Linked DNA regions of Xenopus tropicalis. The protein of the gene in region 5 purifies or fractionates together with the protein of the main gene of each other region. This does not show direct contact. Links are inferred from orthologs where the notes say so. Each region holds a gene or a part of one and is shown on either strand. Other genes may lie near its edges. The genes, in order: mms19, aco1, cul1, ciao2b and fbxl5.

Region 1 (2,632 bases), on a different chromosome or scaffold from region 5:
AGTGGTCTCCCTGACCAATACGTGATTGGGCTCTGTAAAGCCCAAGCGAGCGGATCTTCACCCGATATCCCCATCTACGGGTTGGCAATGTCGGGGAACATGTAGGCTAATTCGATCATTTGGCCCTGGGGCCAAATGATCGAATTATAATGGCGGCAATAGGGCAGTCGGTTCGGGGACCACATCAACGAGCCGATGTGGTCCCCAACTGAATTTTTTAACCTGCCCGATCGATATCTGCCCAATTTCAGGCCAGATATCGGTCGGGTATGGCTGTCGTTTCTGCCCCTACACGGGCTGATAAGCTGCCGAATCGGTCCAATTGCTTATCGTATTTAATAAGAGCATTGGTTATTCTTCGTTGCAATGATTCTGTAATTGATTGGATGGAATGCATCGCAGGCCTAACAGATGTATGTTCCTCGCTGTGGTCAGTGTGAGTGAGATATTCTGCACTCCTCAGGCACCTAGCTTTGGCTGACAAAGGCCAAATTTACCATCACAGCTGGAAAGTGAACCTCCAGCGGTTACATTTCCCTTGGGCAGAGTGTGTGGAGCAGTTTGTGTTGTGATCTTGATTCTACTTAAAAGATAAAAGGCTAATTCTTTCTTCCTTTCGCCCTTTCTAGGCTGTTCGGATTACAGCTTTGAAGTGTATCCTTGCTCTCACCAAGCTCCCCTTGCACATGGTAAGAATGCACCTTTGGTGCCATTGCACTTCTACGCTCACTGCTCAGTGTATATCTGTGCCAGTCAGTATGGCTTCTGTGCATAACCGGATTTATATGGATCATACTGTTATATATGGATTTCTCTTGCCAGCTCCTGCCTTATAAGCAACAGGTGATCCGTGCCTTAGCCAAACCTCTGGATGACAAGAAAAGACTAGTGAGGAAGGAGGCAGTCGAGACTCGCTGCCAGTGGTAGGTTCACAGTGTATCTTTATTTTACTGAGTGCATATGGCCTCTTTACAGGGAACGTTACAGGATATATAAACTCCCCCCACACAAACAGCCTCTTTGAAATCTTTCAATACCTGCTGCAGCATCCCCTTAATCACTTAGGATTTCTTCTTCTCTAACCCACTCGGCCCTCTCCCTCAGGAATTTACTTTGGCTGTTGGCTAGTGGGCATGCTCAGTTGTTCTTGGCTCACGCCCCCCAGTCTAGCAGCCAATGAAGAGATGGCATTGCTTGTTCTCATAGAAACTATCTGCCTGCTCCATGTTTTCTCCTTACCTCACCTATTGCTTTTTTTAAATTTTGTGGTTTTTCAGTTAACTTTTGGTTCAGCTGGTTCATTTTTGAATTTCAGCAGCTATCTGGTTACTAGTTACTTATTTACCTTAGCAGCCAGTCAGTGGTTTGAATGAGAGACTGGAATATGAAGAGGGGAGGGTCTCAATAGAAATATATGGAATATAAAGTAACAATAACATCAAAATTTTAGCCTCACAAAGCAAAAGATTTTTTTGACTGCCGGGGTCAGTGACCCCCATTTGAAAGCTGGATACGTGCACATTAGGAAGGCAAATAATTTAAAAACTCTAAAAAAAAAAATAAAGAAGACAAACTGCAAAGTTGCTAGGAATAGCCATTGTCTGCCATAAGCCTAAAGAGCAATAGTGATCTGCAACTGTTGTAGGGCACAATATTGAGTTTTTTGCTCCCCTAATTGATGGTGTGCTCATTCTTTGTTCTTCCCCCTTTAGGTTCTTGCTTGGAAGTCCAGGGAGCTGAGAACAGACTGGATTCTAACTTTGCACGGAGACAATCTAGCCAGGATGCCACTTATTCTTACGACATGATCAACACCATGACTCCATGTGCCATCTTGTTTAGTCGCCCCTCAAATACTGACAACCCCAGGCCCTAACATAGAAGCGGGACCTGCTCACGTCATTAACTCACTGCTAAGTGGATCACAGACGTCCTGCAGCTTTATATTGCACATGAACGATGGTAGCACAGATGTACATTAGATCAATGACTTGGCATGTGGATGAAGAGAACTAGTCCATGAAATATATATAAGGTGTATATTATAACGTATAGTTCTGTGAATGAATAGCAACGCCAGTCTCTTGGCCTGGTTTTAAGTTGGACATAAAAGTTGTTTTTTTTTTTTTACTGTGTGTGTGTTGTAAAGCTTCCCCTTGGGGCTCCAGTCTGGGGGAGATTCTCTCCTGCTGCTGTATGAGAAGAATTTTCTAGAAAGGTGAGGTACACGGGGAATTTTCCCTAAAGCCAAGGTAAATGTGGATTCTCATGCCCATTTTAACTTGATGCTGCTATCCGGAGCAGGTGTGTTCCATGCCTGAGGATTAACATAGGAAAGCAATTATTCTAAGTGCTGAGCTAGCTAACAAAGGTATTTCCCATTCTCTGCACCATCAATACTGCAAATGTTTACATTAAAACTAGCAAATTCGTCTAATGTGTATTTTGTGTTTGAGGTTTTCCTTAAAAGGCCGATACAATATTGGTCCATGTTAACCTACTGAATGGTTTAAGGATACGTAAACCTGCCAAAATAATACATTTTGTAGTTTCTGTTACTGTACAGTCGAAGAGCTATACCTTCAGAAGGAAAATAGGTGTTCTGACGTTGCTATGTGCAAGAAAGATCTTA
Region 2 (2,401 bases), about 89 Mb from region 5:
TCTATTGGACTGATTCAAATTGAATTATTTACTTGATTTTTTGTGTTTTTCTTTCTGCTTGTGTGCAATAGTGCATGCATCGAACAGTCTATAAATATTAATGTTTTATGAAAACAAAAGAAATTTGGAATAAGCAGATGCCACCATACCTGTAAGAAAGGACCTTTTGCAGCCCAATCTCTAGAACTTCCAGAACCATACTCTTTTCCTGTCAGAAGGATTAAATTGTGCCCATCATTTTGGTATCTTTCAGCTGCATCAAATATATCAAGCTAAAAAACAAAACAAAAAACAAATATATTTCCAATACACACATTTAGAAAGGCAATAAGAAGAAGGTTCAGTAGCCATTTAGAAAATGATGCTATTGGCAGAATGTAGTGATTTCAATGACATAAATAAAATGACATACTTCAATCAAGGAACACAGATTTGTGTTATGTTTCATAATATTTATTAATCAGCCAACATAATGGGTTATTTTCTTCTGCATTATATATGGATGCAACAGCTACCAGGAAAAAAAATAATAGTTTTTGACACATAACGAAAAATCGAGAGGTGAATGGATGACCAGCAATAAAGGTAGAGCTATATTATACTCTCACCTCACTTTAATTAAAGGGCAGTATACACTCACCTAAAGGATTATTAGGAACACCATACTAATACCCTTCCTCTGACCTCTAGCATCAACAAGGCATTTTCGCCCACAGGACTGCCGCATACTGAGTAACACATGCAGTAACTGAGCAGATCTTGAAATATATGCATTGAAGCAACTGCCATGTGATTGGTTGATTAGATAATTGCATTAATGAGAAATTGAACAGGTGTTCCTAATAAACCTTTAGGTGAGTATCTATTCTGCCTCTTTTTTCATTAAAAATTCTAGTTTTTCTTACTTTTTAAGGCACTCATGGGAAGTTTTGTTTTTTACTAAACTCACTCTACTCTGCCAACCTAAACAAGGTTTTCTTTTTAAAGGAGGATAATAAACACTGAATAAACAAACCCCCCCCATCCTTAAAGGTCATGTCAACCCCAAAAATAATTTTTTTGCAGAATCAAAGAAAACATAATTCCAATTATAATTGACTGATAATTCCAAGCAACGTTCCAATGTAAATTTATTGAAAATTTTTAGTGCTTTAACCTTTTTACTGCCAGCCATTTTGGTCAAAGCGGAACTTGTATTGCCAGACAGTTTTTGAACATTTTGCACTGTTTCACTTTAGGGGCCTTTCCTCGGGGGGACTTTTAGTTTACCAAGGAAAACAATATATCATTTTTTTCAGAACAACCTAAGCTTTCAAAATATGGTAGAATTTTTGTGTAATTCCAATTCTGTAACAAGATATAGGCTTCTAAATGTCTAAAAATGCAAAAAAAATCAAATTTTCCATAATATAATCACACATACTAGAAACAAAAATTATTTTATGCACGAATATACAACTGATTTGGAAAGTCCCATGTCTCCTGAACGTGCCAATACCAAATATATATAGTTTTATGGAGATTTCTCACTTGTATAGGTCAAAAACTCCCAGCAGTACACTACCAAATTCCCAAAGCACTGCTCCAAAAAAACTGCATACTTTGGATTTCAAGGCCAAAATTCCACTAACAGAAGTTTTATCCCAGAAAATTGTACATTTTTGGAAAGAACAGATTCTGGGGAATACAGAATAGGCACAACTGTCTGTCTACTCCAAACTATCAAGTCGCAATGCTTTCCTAAAGTTATTGGTTTTTATCAAAATTTGTGATTTTTTTTAAAAATCGCTTCAAAGCTTCTAGTCTATAGTATCTTATCTCCTACAGGTCATAAAGTAACCAAATAAAACACCCTAAATATGAATGCCTGGGGTCCACTGAACAGTTTGATGCCCAATATGTATAGGTTTACCTAAGTATGTGGCATGTAGGGGCCCCAATGTGAACATACCCCATATGAACTGTCATTTCTGTCATTTCAGCTTCTGCAAAATCAACACATTTACATCATTATATGTGGGATGAAGCTAGTAAAAAGTACGCTCACCCCAGAAAGTCATATATTTTTGGAAAGTACACATTCCCCCGAATCTAAAATGGGTACCCATGTCTTTCTACTCCAAAGTACCAAGCCGCACAGCTTTTCTAAAGTTAGCAATTTTGATGACATTTCCAAAAATCCCCTCAAAGCTTCCACTTTGAAGCATCTTATCTCCCACATAGCATTAGATACCAAGATAAAACACCCTGAATTTGAACGCCAGGGGTCCACTGAACAGTTTGATGCCCAATATGTATAGGTTTACCTAAGTATGTGGCATGTAGGGGCCCCAATGTGAACATACCCCCATATGAACTGTCATTTCTGTCATTTCAGCTCCTGCAAAATCAACACATATAC
Region 3 (3,521 bases), on a different chromosome or scaffold from region 5:
GACAAATCTCCTAAAGGTAAGTTTTTGTTAAATTGAATCTCTGAGGGAATGCAATATGAACAACATGTTTCTAATACTTCATAAAATAAATGGATTTATGTTTCATATGCTGTATACAGACATAATTGTGCATTCTTCATTTTATCGTATCTGATTTATTTTTATTGTAGGGCCACAGTATATCATTAATACTGTGTAAAAAAAACAAACCAAAAAAACTACCTGCATAACTCATTGGCACTACTACTATAGGGGAGCACAGGTTTAAATCATGCTGCAGAGCAGTGTAGGTAACCTACTACCAGCTGCAGCCTACCAGTTGTCATGAGCTTAATTTTCCTGCAGCAGGATATCTGCTGCCATTTGTATTCCAAGCATATTTTGTGATATTAGGAGTACAGAATGCTATCAAAATACATTGTTTTGGTTCACAGGTCTTTAATATCTTCCATACTAGACAGGTTTAATGCATCCAAACTTGTTGCTAAAGCTGCTTGCAAGATGACTTTTATATTTTTATTTGTAATTATTACTGCATAGAAGGCAACTAAAATTGTTTGGGAATATGGTATATTAATATGTACTCCCCAGGATGGAGAAGATTTGATGGATGAGAGCGTACTGAAGTTTTACACACAGCAATGGGAAGATTACAGGTTTTCAAGTAAAGTGCTGAATGGAATCTGCGCATACCTCAACCGGCACTGGGTTCGCCGTGAGTGTGATGAAGGCCGCAAAGGAATATATGAAATATATTCTGTAAGTTGGATAACATTTGCTTACATTAGTAAACCCATTTCAACAGATTGCTTGATAAGAGAACCTATAACTGACTATTTTTCTTAACAGTGGGTGATTACATCGTTAATAGGTCTTTGTTTGTGTTCCTTTCTCCTAGCTGGCCTTAGTGACATGGAGGGATTGTCTGTTTAAGCCTTTGAATAAGCAGGTAAATATCAATACCTTGTTATACAGTCAAACTTATTGTTATTTGTGACATTTACATGATCGTTATTCTTGTAGCTGTGCTATTATGCAGTTCATCAAAGAGGCACTGTGTAAACTGAACCTTAAATTATGGCATGGTTGAAAATCAAAACAATTTTTCCCTGTGCTTCCCCTCTCCAAATACAACTGGCTTTAATATAAATTTTTTACTGTTTCTCTTACCATTTACCACAGCAAGTTGTAAGTTATGCTGTGTTCAGTAATCATCTGACAATGTATACTGCAGATGTCCCTCCTGTTGGCCCTCACTGTGCTAGCCCTAGTGTTGAGCATTGACAGTGCTTCATGCTCACAGCATACCTGAGGTGCCCATTCTCATCTTCAGTAGTGATCTGTAATTGTTGATGCTGCATTTCCAAGTTGGTAGACGGGATGTTTTTTTTGTTTTCTTCCATTCCGCTCATATTTTTTTAAATCACACCTCCACATACATACATATAACAAAAAGTTGGTAATTGTGAAGTAAATTTGTGACACTATTTGGTCTGTTTCAAAAGGTAACAAATGCTGTGCTGAAACTGATTGAAAAGGAACGAAATGGTGAAACAATAAACACCAGGCTTATAAGTGGAGTGGTGCAATCTTATGGTAAGTTAATTTTAATATGTATCCCTGCATCTGCTAATGCATAACTAATCTTTACAACATCACACTCAGAATTACACAGAGATATGGATACAGTATTAGATGTTAGGCAAGTGCTGTGAGGTTTTTCTTCTGATGATCTGTGTTCTGACTGTTTGATTTGATTGCCATCATCCTTGCATTATATATTATATATATATATATATATATATATATATATATAAATAACACTGAGAGGAGCACTCAAATATAATAAAGTGTCTGCCTGGGTGCAAATAAAATTAATAATAAAAATAGAAAGCTTTATACATAACAGGACTTGTGCAAAAAATCAAAACAACAATTAAATCACTATTTGATTTTCAGTTAAATGAGCCTAAATTAATAACACTTGATTAGTGATTTTTTTGGGAGGAAATTTCTTCGTTAAATCTGTTTAATGTTGTGTGCAGAGCCATATTTATAGGCGCCCGAGAGCCCCATTCGCAGCAGGGGATGGCCTACGGATGCCCCAAGGTTTGGGGGTGTGTGAATTAGGTCCAATGCCTAGGGTGGCACTAGACCTAAATATAGCTGGTTATGTAAATACAACTGTTAATGTGTCTGTGCTAGAAAAGGTTAATGCTTAGTCCACTTTGGTTCACGTAAAATAGATGGGTTCTCGTAATAAAAGGCACCATGCCAGCCAATGTAAAAAAATAAATTGAAAAAAAATCACAAAGCAGTAAAAATATGTTTTTCTTTCAAGTTGAGCTTGGCTTGAATGAAGATGATGCATTTGCCAAAGGCCCAACACTGACTGTTTATAAAGAGTCCTTTGAGTCTCAGTTTTTGGCAGACACAGAACGGTTTTATACAAGAGAGAGCACAGAGTTTTTACAGCAGAACCCTGTCACAGAATATATGAAAAAGGTAGGTCTGCTTTCTTTTGAAAATCTGCTATACTGTTACCAGGGTGAGGTAACCTGGTTCCAAAGAAGCAAGTATTGTTACTAATGCTAGATGTTAGGCAGCCATTTGCCAATGCTTCTGTTACACACACATTATAGGGCTTGATAGCTCTGTCTCTTCAGTGACTGTATAGGAGAAGCACAGCGAATGGTGCAAACATTTTTAGAATTGTAATTCTTTCATATATGGTGAGCAATGATTGCTTCATTCGCATTTTCAAGATTATTCTTTCTCTCTGCATTTCCCTTTATATAATAGTTGGTGTAATAATGTTAATTTTTAGGGGGGGGGGAGGTAAAACTGATAATGCTCCACACACCGCAACACACCACATCAGTTTGTATGAAATACAAACTGAAGTGACAGTTAGTGGCACCTTCTAATTGTGCAAAGTGATACATATTCACAGAAGTAATGCTTAGTGAATAGAATACCTATTCTGTCTAAGAAAAGAAAAGTCTGCATATTAGAAGAGTTTATGCACCCTGCTGTGTAATAACATTGTTCTGTGTGTGCCTAAGGCTTATTATTGCTTTTGTCTTTTTTAGGCAGAAGCTCGGCTTTTGGAGGAGCAGCGCAGAGTACAAGTATACTTACATGAGAGCACACAGGATGAACTAGCACGGAAATGTGAACAAGTCCTAATTGAAAAACATCTAGAGATTTTCCACACTGAATTTCAGAATTTACTAGATGCTGATAAAAATGAAGGTAATTATCTAACACGGGCCACTATGCTCCAAAATGAATACATTTCTACATGGGCCGCGAGCTATTACAAACAATAGCTAATTTCTGTGTAATGCTGGGAGTTGTGTACATGCACAGTTGTTGGCTATTGGGCCAGTAGCTTCTATGAATTTCTTGAATTCCTATTGGTTTATCAAAATAGATTGCCAGCCTGTATACCAATGTTAACCTTCTTACACTGTTAGAGCAAAATTAAGGTGGCCATACACGATACAATTGCGATCCTA
Region 4 (4,156 bases), on a different chromosome or scaffold from region 5:
GCAATGACTGGTAGAACATAGATGGGCCCGTGGGCAATGACTGGTAGAACATAGATGGGCCCGTGGGCAATGACTGGTAGAACATAGATGGGCCCGTGGGCAATGACTGGTAGAACGTAGATGGGCCCGTGGGCAATGACTGGTAGAACATAGATGGGCCCGTGGGGCAATGACTGGTAGAACATAGATGGGCCCGTGGGCAATGACTGGTAGAACATAGATGGGGCCCGTGGGCAATGACTGGTAGAACATAGATGGGCCCGTGGGCAATGACTGGTAGAACATAGATGGGCCCGTGGGCAATGACTGGTAGAACATAGATGGGCCCGTGGGCAATGACTGGTAGAACATAGATGGGCCCGTGGGCAATGACTGGTAGAACATAGATGGGCCCGTGGGCAATGACTGGTAGAACATAGATGGGCCCGTGGGCAGTGACTGGTAGAACGTAGATGGGCCCGTGGGCAATGACTGGTAGAACATAGATGGGCCCGTGGGCAATGACTGGTAGAACATAGATGGGCCCGTGGGCAATGACTGGTAGAACATAGATGGGCCGTGGGCAATGACTGGTAGAACATAGATGGGCCCGTGGGCAGTGACTGGTAGAACGTAGATGGGCCCGTGGGCAATGACTGGTAGAACATAGATGGGCCCGTGGGCAATGACTGGTAGAACATAGATGGGCCTGTGGGCAATGACTGGTAGAACGTAGATGGGCCCGTGGGCAGTAGGAAATATCCAGTAGAGAAGTGGCTATACCTTTGCTTGTTGCTATGATACTGTATGTTTAAGGTGGCTGAGTTGGCCGGGCAGGGGCTGATCCCCTAGTGATTCATTCATTCACTTATATTAATCCTAGCTGTAGGCTAATTGTTAGATACAAACTACATTACCCAGCATGCAGTGGGACAGGTGCGTCAGGTTTACCAGGTTTCCACACTACAAACCCGCCAAGGCTCCATAGAAACAGCCCAAATCTGTACCTTAGCGGGTTTGTACTTTGGAAACCCACCTGGGCTTTAGTTAGTAGCTCAATTGGGTGGAAAAGCCGCCAACCCGGTAACCCTGACGGTAGCACTTAGTGTAACCAAGCCAATAGCTAAGGCTTCCGGTTTCCGGGCTGAACCATACCAACCTATACATTCTGATTCTAATTTGCCAGGATAAAACATGGCGTTTTCCTTTTCCGCCCTTTTCCACACAGCCGGTGATTGGTAGGCATTGCAAACCAATCCAAGAGGCTCGGCCAGTGATTGGCCCGCTGCGGGTGAATCAGCCAATGGCAGGCGGAGGTGCCTATTGCCAGACGGAAACATTTCCCGCACGGCGTGGTGAGGGCGGAAGTGGTACGGTAGGAATAAGGGTCCGGGGATGGTGGGAGGGAGCCAGCTGGAGAACGCGAATCCGCTCATTTACCGGCGGGCGGGGGAGCGGCAGGTCACAGCGCAGGAGGAGGATGAGGACGCGCCGGACCGGATCGATGACCGGGAGATCTTTGATATCCTTCCGCGTATATGAGCCGTACCCATGGGCGTAGTGCCGGGCTCACCCCCTGCCTGTTCCCTAGCAACCGGGGGATAGAGCCCTCTCCCGATAATATCCGTGTCCTTCCTGCCCCTTGTATCCGCCTGTGCCCATGGGGGTAACTGCCTCGTACTGTTGCCTAATACCCCCCCCCCCCCAAATCTACTGCCCTGGGCTGTCATCCACTCAGCGCAGTCTTATCCCTATCTGCCCCAGCAACTGCCCCCTTCCTATACTGACCCTTCCCTATCTATCTGCCCCTTCCTATACTGACCCTTCCCTATCTATCTGCCCCAGCAACTGCCCCCTTCCTATACTGCCCCTTTCCTATCTATCTGCCCCAGCAACTGCCCCCTTCCTATACTGCCCCTTCCCTATCTATCTGCCCCAGCAACTGCCCCCTTCCTATACTGCCCCTTCCCTATCTATCTGCCCCAGCAACTGCCCCCTTCCTATACTGCCCCTTCCCTATCTATCTGCCCCAGCAACTGCCCCCTTCCTATACTGACCCTTCCGTATCTATCTGCCCCAGCAACTGACCCTTCCGTATCTATTTGCCCCAGCCCTATATATCTGCCCCAGAAACTAACCCTTTTATATATATTTGCCCTATTCCTTTACTGACCCTTCCCTATTTACCTGTCCCATCCCTATACTGACCCTTATCTATTTATTTGCCCCATCCTAATACTTGCACTTCCCTATCTATCTACCCCTGCAACTGCCCCATACCTAAACTGACCCTTCCCTATCTATCTGCCCCATACCTATACTGACCCTTCCCTATCTATCTGCCCCATACCTATACTGACCCTTCCCTATCTATCTGCCCCTGCAACTGCCCCTGCAACTGCCCCATACCTATACTGACCCTTCCCTATCTATCTGCCCCATACCTATACTGACCCTTCCCTATCTATCTGCCCCATACCTATACTGACCCTTCCCTATCTATCTGCCCCATACCTATACTGACCCTTCCCTATCTATCTGCCCCTTCCCTATCTATCTGCCCCATACCTATACTGACCCTTCCCTATCTATCTGCCCCATACCTATACTGCCCCCTTCCCTATCTATCTGCCCCATACCTATACTGCCCCTTCCCTATCTATCTGCCCCATACCTATACTGCCCCTTCCCTATCTATCTGCCCCATACCTATACTGACCCTTCCCTATCTATCTGCCCCATACCTATACTGACCCTTCCCTATCTATCTGCCCCTTCCCTATCTATCTGCCCCATACCTACACTGACCCTTCCCTATCTATCTGCCCCATACCTACACTGACCCTTCCCTATCTATCTGCCCCATACCTATACTGCCCCTTCCCTATCTATCTGCCCATACCTACACTGACCCTTCCCTATCTATCTGCCCCCATACCTATACTGACCCTTCCCTATCTATCTGCCCCATACCTACACTGACCCTTCCCTATCTATCTGCCCCATACCTATACTGACCCTTCCCTATCTATCTGCCCCTTCCCTATCTATCTGCCCCATACCTATACTGACCCTTCCCTATCTATCTGCCCCATACCTATACTGCCCCTTCCCTATCTATCTGCCCCATACCTATACTGCCCCTTCCCTATCTATCTGCCCCATACCTACACTGACCCTTCCCTATCTATCTGCCCCATACCTATACTGACCCTTCCCTATCTATCTGCCCCTTCCCTATCTATCTGCCCCATACCTATACTGACCCTTCCCTATCTATCTGCCCCATACCTATACTGACCCTTCCCTATCTATCTGCCCCATACCTATACTGACCCTTCCCTATCTATCTGCCCCTGTAACTGCCCCATACTTATACTGACCTTTTCATATACAGTATATCTGCCCTTGCAACTGCCCCTTCCCTATCCATTTGCCCCAACAATTGCCCAATCCCTTCACTCATTCTCCGATATCAGCCCCAAGCTCCAGCCTCTAACTGCCTCTCAACAACCTTCCACATTTATTGTAAAGGGCAAGTAGCACCAAAGCAAGTTTTTTGTTAATGAATTTAATATGCGGTTACCCAGCATTGCTAGTCATTGTGTATAAGGAATTCGCTGTGTAGCCGGGGGGCTGCCATTCATGTTCCAGCGGGGCCCCCCTGTATATTGGAGGTACAGGAGACGCTGTTTGCAATACAAATATTTCAGAACTTGAGCTGGGCTCATATAGGCACCAACTCAGGATGAAACTTGCTCCTATCAAATAAAACTGATACACATACTCCCAGTTATAATGTCACTGGCCCATTAACCCTTTGGTAGCTTGCATGTTCTACTTATTGAGTTTACTCCTTGCTTTCCCTTCCATTGCCCTTAATTCCGGTACATCTGATTCGCTGTATAAATGACCCGGAACACCCACTTACGCTGGAGGAACTAAACGTGGTTGAAGAAATTCGAGTGAAGGTGCAAATTGCTTGTTACCCTATGGCCCCCCCCCCCCCCCCCCCCAGTATAAGTAAATGTTATGTACTAACAGAAGAGCTAAATTCTCTTAGTGAATATCCCTATTACTGTGCGTGTTTGTTCCTCAGGTAAGTGATGAGGAGAGCACAGTGTCCGTCGAGTTTACCCCGACCATCCCGCACTGCAGTATGGCAACGCTCATCGGC
Region 5 (4,234 bases):
TGAGATCAAGCCGCTATTTGACCAGCCTAGCTGGCGATTCTAGTGCCAGTATTACAAATTTACCAGCAATATATAAGGATGGCAGCCCTACCTATAAATCCTGTCCTTCCCTGACTCTTTCCCTATGTAGCCCACCCATTTTCCCACCCTGTGATATCACTGCTTGCCAGTATTCACTGTAAAAAAAAGGTGGCAACCCAAGCTAGGACAGCATGGATCATTACAGTTATAAGGCTGTTGGGCCTCAGGCCTGGAACAGTAAGTTCAGTATATAAAAGAATTTCTAGCAATACAGTAAAAGCCCTATTTTAATTCTGTCAAATGTAAAATCAGGGAAATGGTTTAAAGTAGAGGATATAAGTACAGGAGCCAAATTTGCTTTGCAATAGAGTTCTTCACCCTGCTACTGGCTCAACTTCAAGCAGTTTAGCATTAATCTATAGGATATGTGGACGGCATTTGCAGGATCCCTTTGAAAGTTTCATGCACAACCTAACACTACAGGACTGGGTGCAAAAATGACACCTGGCCCATTCATCCACCTAACCAAAATGTCAGTTTAGGGTTCTGGTATCTCCTGCAGGCACCATGGGTTGGGCTGGCACCATGGGTCGGGCTGGCACCCCCCCCCCCCCCTCCTCTTTCTGGTAATTACCCAAGTGTTTACAGAGAACAAAAATACATTTTTAGGAAAACGAGAAAAAAATAATTAAAATGCAGGAAAATGTGATGTAAAATTTAGGTGAATTGGAACTGGTAGGACTGGAAAAAAAAATAAGAAAATTTTAAATTGTGGTTAAGAAGGGAACGTAAAGTTGTAAGTTGTAAAGTTAAGGTTTGCCTGTATTGTTTATTTAAGCTTTACTTCTCCTTCTTTAGTAACACTGGCATCAATTAGTGTTTTCACTTTTTCTGTAAAAAATATACAATCTTTCCTGCTTATAAATAACACTTGCATTAGTATCCGCCTCATGTTAATACTGTTAATTGAGCATTTAGAAACACTGAAAACGACCCACTCTTTGCAAAATAAAACATAAATCCTCATTGTAAAAATAAATGTGATACATTTTCAACTAAAATGTTTAGAGCTGCTACGTGTGCCTTTGGGTTTGAAAAATGGTTTTGTCCCAACAGGCGGAGATCGCTCAGCGCATGCGCAGGACCGTGAGGCTTGTCACTTTTACGAGCGTTACTTATATAGTGACCGAGAAAGTAGCATTGCGCATGCGCATTGAAGCTACGGTGGCCGTTATAGAACGCATGCTCATAGGACGGCTATCAGGATACTAGGCAACCGGCCATGCCAAGTTTGCGGCTGCGCAGCTGCTAGCTTCTCTGTGCATTACGTGACAGGTTGGATTGCGCAGGCGCAGTAGGGAAGTGTAGGCCGTAGTTGCGCAGTTGTGAGGAGGAGGTCTGCCGTCGGGTTATTTTGGCAGGGCTGTGTGAGCTTGTCGGTCACTCTGGGTTTTTGAGCGCTTGGGAGCTCTTGTATGGAGAGGCGGACATGGCTCCATTTCCGGACGAGGTGGACTTGTTCACTGGACCACACTGGCGGATGAAGCAGCTGGTGGGGAGGTATTGCGAGAAGGTAAATTCTGTAGGATGATGGCGGCTTGGGATTATGGGAAACTGAAAGATTCTCACTACATCCCCCAGCATCCCATGGCAACCCTCTGAGCCAGTCTGAGAACCCCATGCTATTAGGGATATTGATCCAGTCCTGGCTTTGTTAAAAGCCCAATTCTTCATTCCTTTAGATGGGAATATAGACACATACCTGCACTGTATGTATAGCATAGGTATTGTACAGCACCCCCCGGGTTATACTTCATACGCTGGTACTATCGCCCTACTGATACAGAGCAGCGCTGCCATTTGTAGTTCAGCAACAGCAGGGAACTTTAGTGCAGGCAGTGGGCTGAGGGCAGATTTGTTATACATTATACACGGGTAGGGACAGGGGTTCTTCTCTGGGATTCCCAGCATCACATGGGGAAGGGAAAGGCAGATAAAAGCCCCCAGGGTACATCAGGGTACTGTTATATAAAGTCTGACCTGGTCAAGTAGACCAATCAGATGTCAGCCAGCCCATCAATTAGTTGCTATGGGATACTAGACTGAAAGCCAGCTTTGCTTAACCTTTATAATGTTGATATTTTGAGTGTATGCAAAAGGATTGTCAGTGCTGTAGCCTTCCAGCTTCTTGTTGAATTGCAACTCTCCCCATCCCGAGTCAGCTGATCGCTCCAGCTGGAAGTTCTGCAGGTTCTGTGGGGGCCCAGCCCTTGCGCGTATCCTGGCACCCCCTCTCTGTTATTACTGACCCTGGTTATGAATATTTGTCTTCATAGTGGTTGGACTGCAGCTGCCATTATGCCTTGGAGTCTTGAACATTTTTAAACTGGGCCAGTTCTTCATGAAATAAATGCCCAATGCTCTAATAACATCACTTACACAAGTGTTTTCTGGCTTCTCTCCCATTCTGTAGATGCCTGAGCTTTGTGCCATCACTCTAACCCTACAGAATGTCTGCATTGGCAGAGTTTGTACAGATGTATAAAGAGCCCTATACCCATTAGGGCAGGGATTCTCAACCTGAGGGTCGGGACCTGAATGTGGGTCCCCTTAATCCCTTTATTATAGACTATATGGAGGTGCATATTCCATCATTTTCATTTGAAAGGGAATCCATTGTAACATTGTATCACCTTGTGTCTCAACCCTTTCTCCTTGTAGAGTGTAAGCTCTTTTGGGCAGGGCTCTCTTCACCTCTTGTATCGGTTATTGATTGCTTTATATGTTACTCTGTATGTCCAATGTATGAAACCCACTTATTGAACAGCGCTGCGGAATATGTTGGCACTTTATAAATAAATGTTAATAATAATAATAATAGTTGTATGAAGAGCCTATGAGAGTGTGGTATGATTGGCATTCCTGTTGCAAGAGTTTGGCAGCTGGACACAAACATCAGGAGGCCAAATCTCAGGGGTGCTGCTATCAGTGTTGTCCCTTACGGGCAGTGTCACCCAAAAAGGCATACTGTCTGCAGTTGGGTGGGGGTGGTTTTATTGTTCAAGATGGCCTTGGGAAGGGTTATACATTGACCGTTCTCTCCCTCCCACCCCCTACTAGAAGAGCTAGTACTGAATTACAGCAATGCACACAGGGTGAATTAGTTCTACCTCTGGAGCCATACACTGGCCATGCCCCAAATTGCCCTGTGAACCATCCCTTTAAGTGAGATGGATGCCCGGGATGATGAGGAAGCGGCTTACCTTCCATTCCCTGAGCTGCTTCAGGATAGGCTTGGGCTGTGTAAGGTAGAAATGTAAGCCAATCCCCATATTTTCTGTCCTGTCATGCTTATGGGTCACTTTCCCATTTCAACATGAAATTTGCTGATTCATAGGTGAGGTGATTAGTGGCGGACGGATGTCAGAGCTTGTGAGGTCTCTTGGCAGTAGCCGGAGGCAGCGTGTGAGTTACAGGAGCATTTTGTTCCTATGCCGGCATTTAGACAACATTTAGGCTGAGTGCTTCTGGCCGAGCTGCTCTGTGTGCACTGACAGGCAGGTTCCAATCCTGACCGTGTGCAGAGGGGGGCTGAATCTGGATTTTCTTTTGTTAGTTTGCATGAAGCATTTATTATCCTGCCAAGCAGCTTGCTATTCTTTTTTTAATTGCACTAATCTTTACAGTAACGACATGGGTTTTAAAACCCATTGCTGGTGTTAGGCTTAAAATATTTTTATATTGGTGAGATTGAGATTATAGAGCGCTGTGTGTGTGAGGCAAGACTGTGTAACACGTAAGTAATGCACACTTAGCCTTGGAGTCACACACATTTCCATTGGTTTGTGTAAGAGTGAAATTGCACATATATACCCTGATTTGGTCAGGCAGTTTGCCCATTTTTGACCACCCTCCCTGACCTTTTGGGTATGTGTTGGGGTTTGGTTTCAACAGACCATTCTGTGACCAAGTTGGATGTGGGTTGTGAGTCCAGCGGGGCAATGTGATGTGCTGACGCAGCTGGTTGGTTGGAGCTTGGTGCGTTTCCTGCTGCTCCTGTCGTTCTGCCTGTTGGCTCCTAGGGTTGGCAGGACAAGTGGGGCTGGATTGCCTACAGTCATCAGGTTGGCAAGTAGGTGTTCCTTGGGTAACATGTTGGGCTCAGGGGAAAGATAGGCAGGAGTGTGGTGTGTGTAGAGTTAACTTTCTGACC

Evidence for each region.
Region 1: the proteins of fbxl5 (region 5) and mms19 purify together in Homo sapiens (affinity purification with mass spectrometry; 4 studies listed by BioGRID and IntAct, counting the BioPlex papers as one, with this or other methods). This does not show direct contact. The link is inferred for Xenopus tropicalis from reciprocal best matches to the Homo sapiens genes FBXL5 and MMS19.
Region 2: the proteins of fbxl5 (region 5) and aco1 purify together in Homo sapiens (affinity purification with western blotting; 3 studies listed by BioGRID, with this or other methods). This does not show direct contact. The link is inferred for Xenopus tropicalis from reciprocal best matches to the Homo sapiens genes FBXL5 and ACO1.
Region 3: the proteins of fbxl5 (region 5) and cul1 purify together in Homo sapiens (affinity purification with western blotting; 11 studies listed by BioGRID and IntAct, counting the BioPlex papers as one, with this or other methods). This does not show direct contact. The link is inferred for Xenopus tropicalis from reciprocal best matches to the Homo sapiens genes FBXL5 and CUL1.
Region 4: the proteins of fbxl5 (region 5) and ciao2b purify together in Homo sapiens (affinity purification with mass spectrometry; 3 studies listed by BioGRID and IntAct, counting the BioPlex papers as one, with this or other methods). This does not show direct contact. The link is inferred for Xenopus tropicalis from reciprocal best matches to the Homo sapiens genes FBXL5 and CIAO2B.

Annotation. Positions count from the first base shown.
Region 1 is NC_030683.2:33,008,340-33,010,971, reverse strand, and holds the end of mms19 (MMS19 nucleotide excision repair protein homolog), read left to right. Parts: intron 1-629; coding exon 630-689; intron 690-822; coding exon 823-923; intron 924-1,712; coding exon 1,713-1,740; 3' UTR 1,741-2,129; downstream 2,130-2,632. UniProt on the Homo sapiens protein: Key component of the cytosolic iron-sulfur protein assembly (CIA) complex, a multiprotein complex that mediates the incorporation of iron-sulfur cluster into apoproteins specifically involved in DNA metabolism and genomic integrity.
Region 2 is NC_030677.2:117,239,750-117,242,150, forward strand, and holds part of aco1 (cytoplasmic aconitate hydratase), read right to left. Parts: intron 273-2,401; coding exon 150-272; intron 1-149. UniProt on the Homo sapiens protein: Bifunctional iron sensor that switches between 2 activities depending on iron availability. Iron deprivation, promotes its mRNA binding activity through which it regulates the expression of genes involved in iron uptake, sequestration and utilization.
Region 3 is NC_030682.2:55,195,852-55,199,372, reverse strand, and holds part of cul1 (cullin-1), read left to right. Parts: coding exon 1-16; intron 17-591; coding exon 592-759; intron 760-898; coding exon 899-949; intron 950-1,505; coding exon 1,506-1,596; intron 1,597-2,341; coding exon 2,342-2,505; intron 2,506-3,092; coding exon 3,093-3,255; intron 3,256-3,521. UniProt on the Homo sapiens protein: Core component of multiple cullin-RING-based SCF (SKP1-CUL1-F-box protein) E3 ubiquitin-protein ligase complexes, which mediate the ubiquitination of proteins involved in cell cycle progression, signal transduction and transcription.
Region 4 is NC_030681.2:7,564,473-7,568,628, forward strand, and holds the start of ciao2b (mitotic spindle-associated MMXD complex subunit MIP18), read left to right. Parts: upstream 1-1,346; 5' UTR 1,347-1,374; coding exon 1,375-1,501; intron 1,502-3,870; coding exon 3,871-3,950; intron 3,951-4,078; coding exon 4,079-4,156.
Region 5 is NC_030677.2:27,926,156-27,930,389, reverse strand, and holds the start of fbxl5 (F-box/LRR-repeat protein 5), read left to right. Parts: upstream 1-1,413; 5' UTR 1,414-1,510; coding exon 1,511-1,594; intron 1,595-4,234.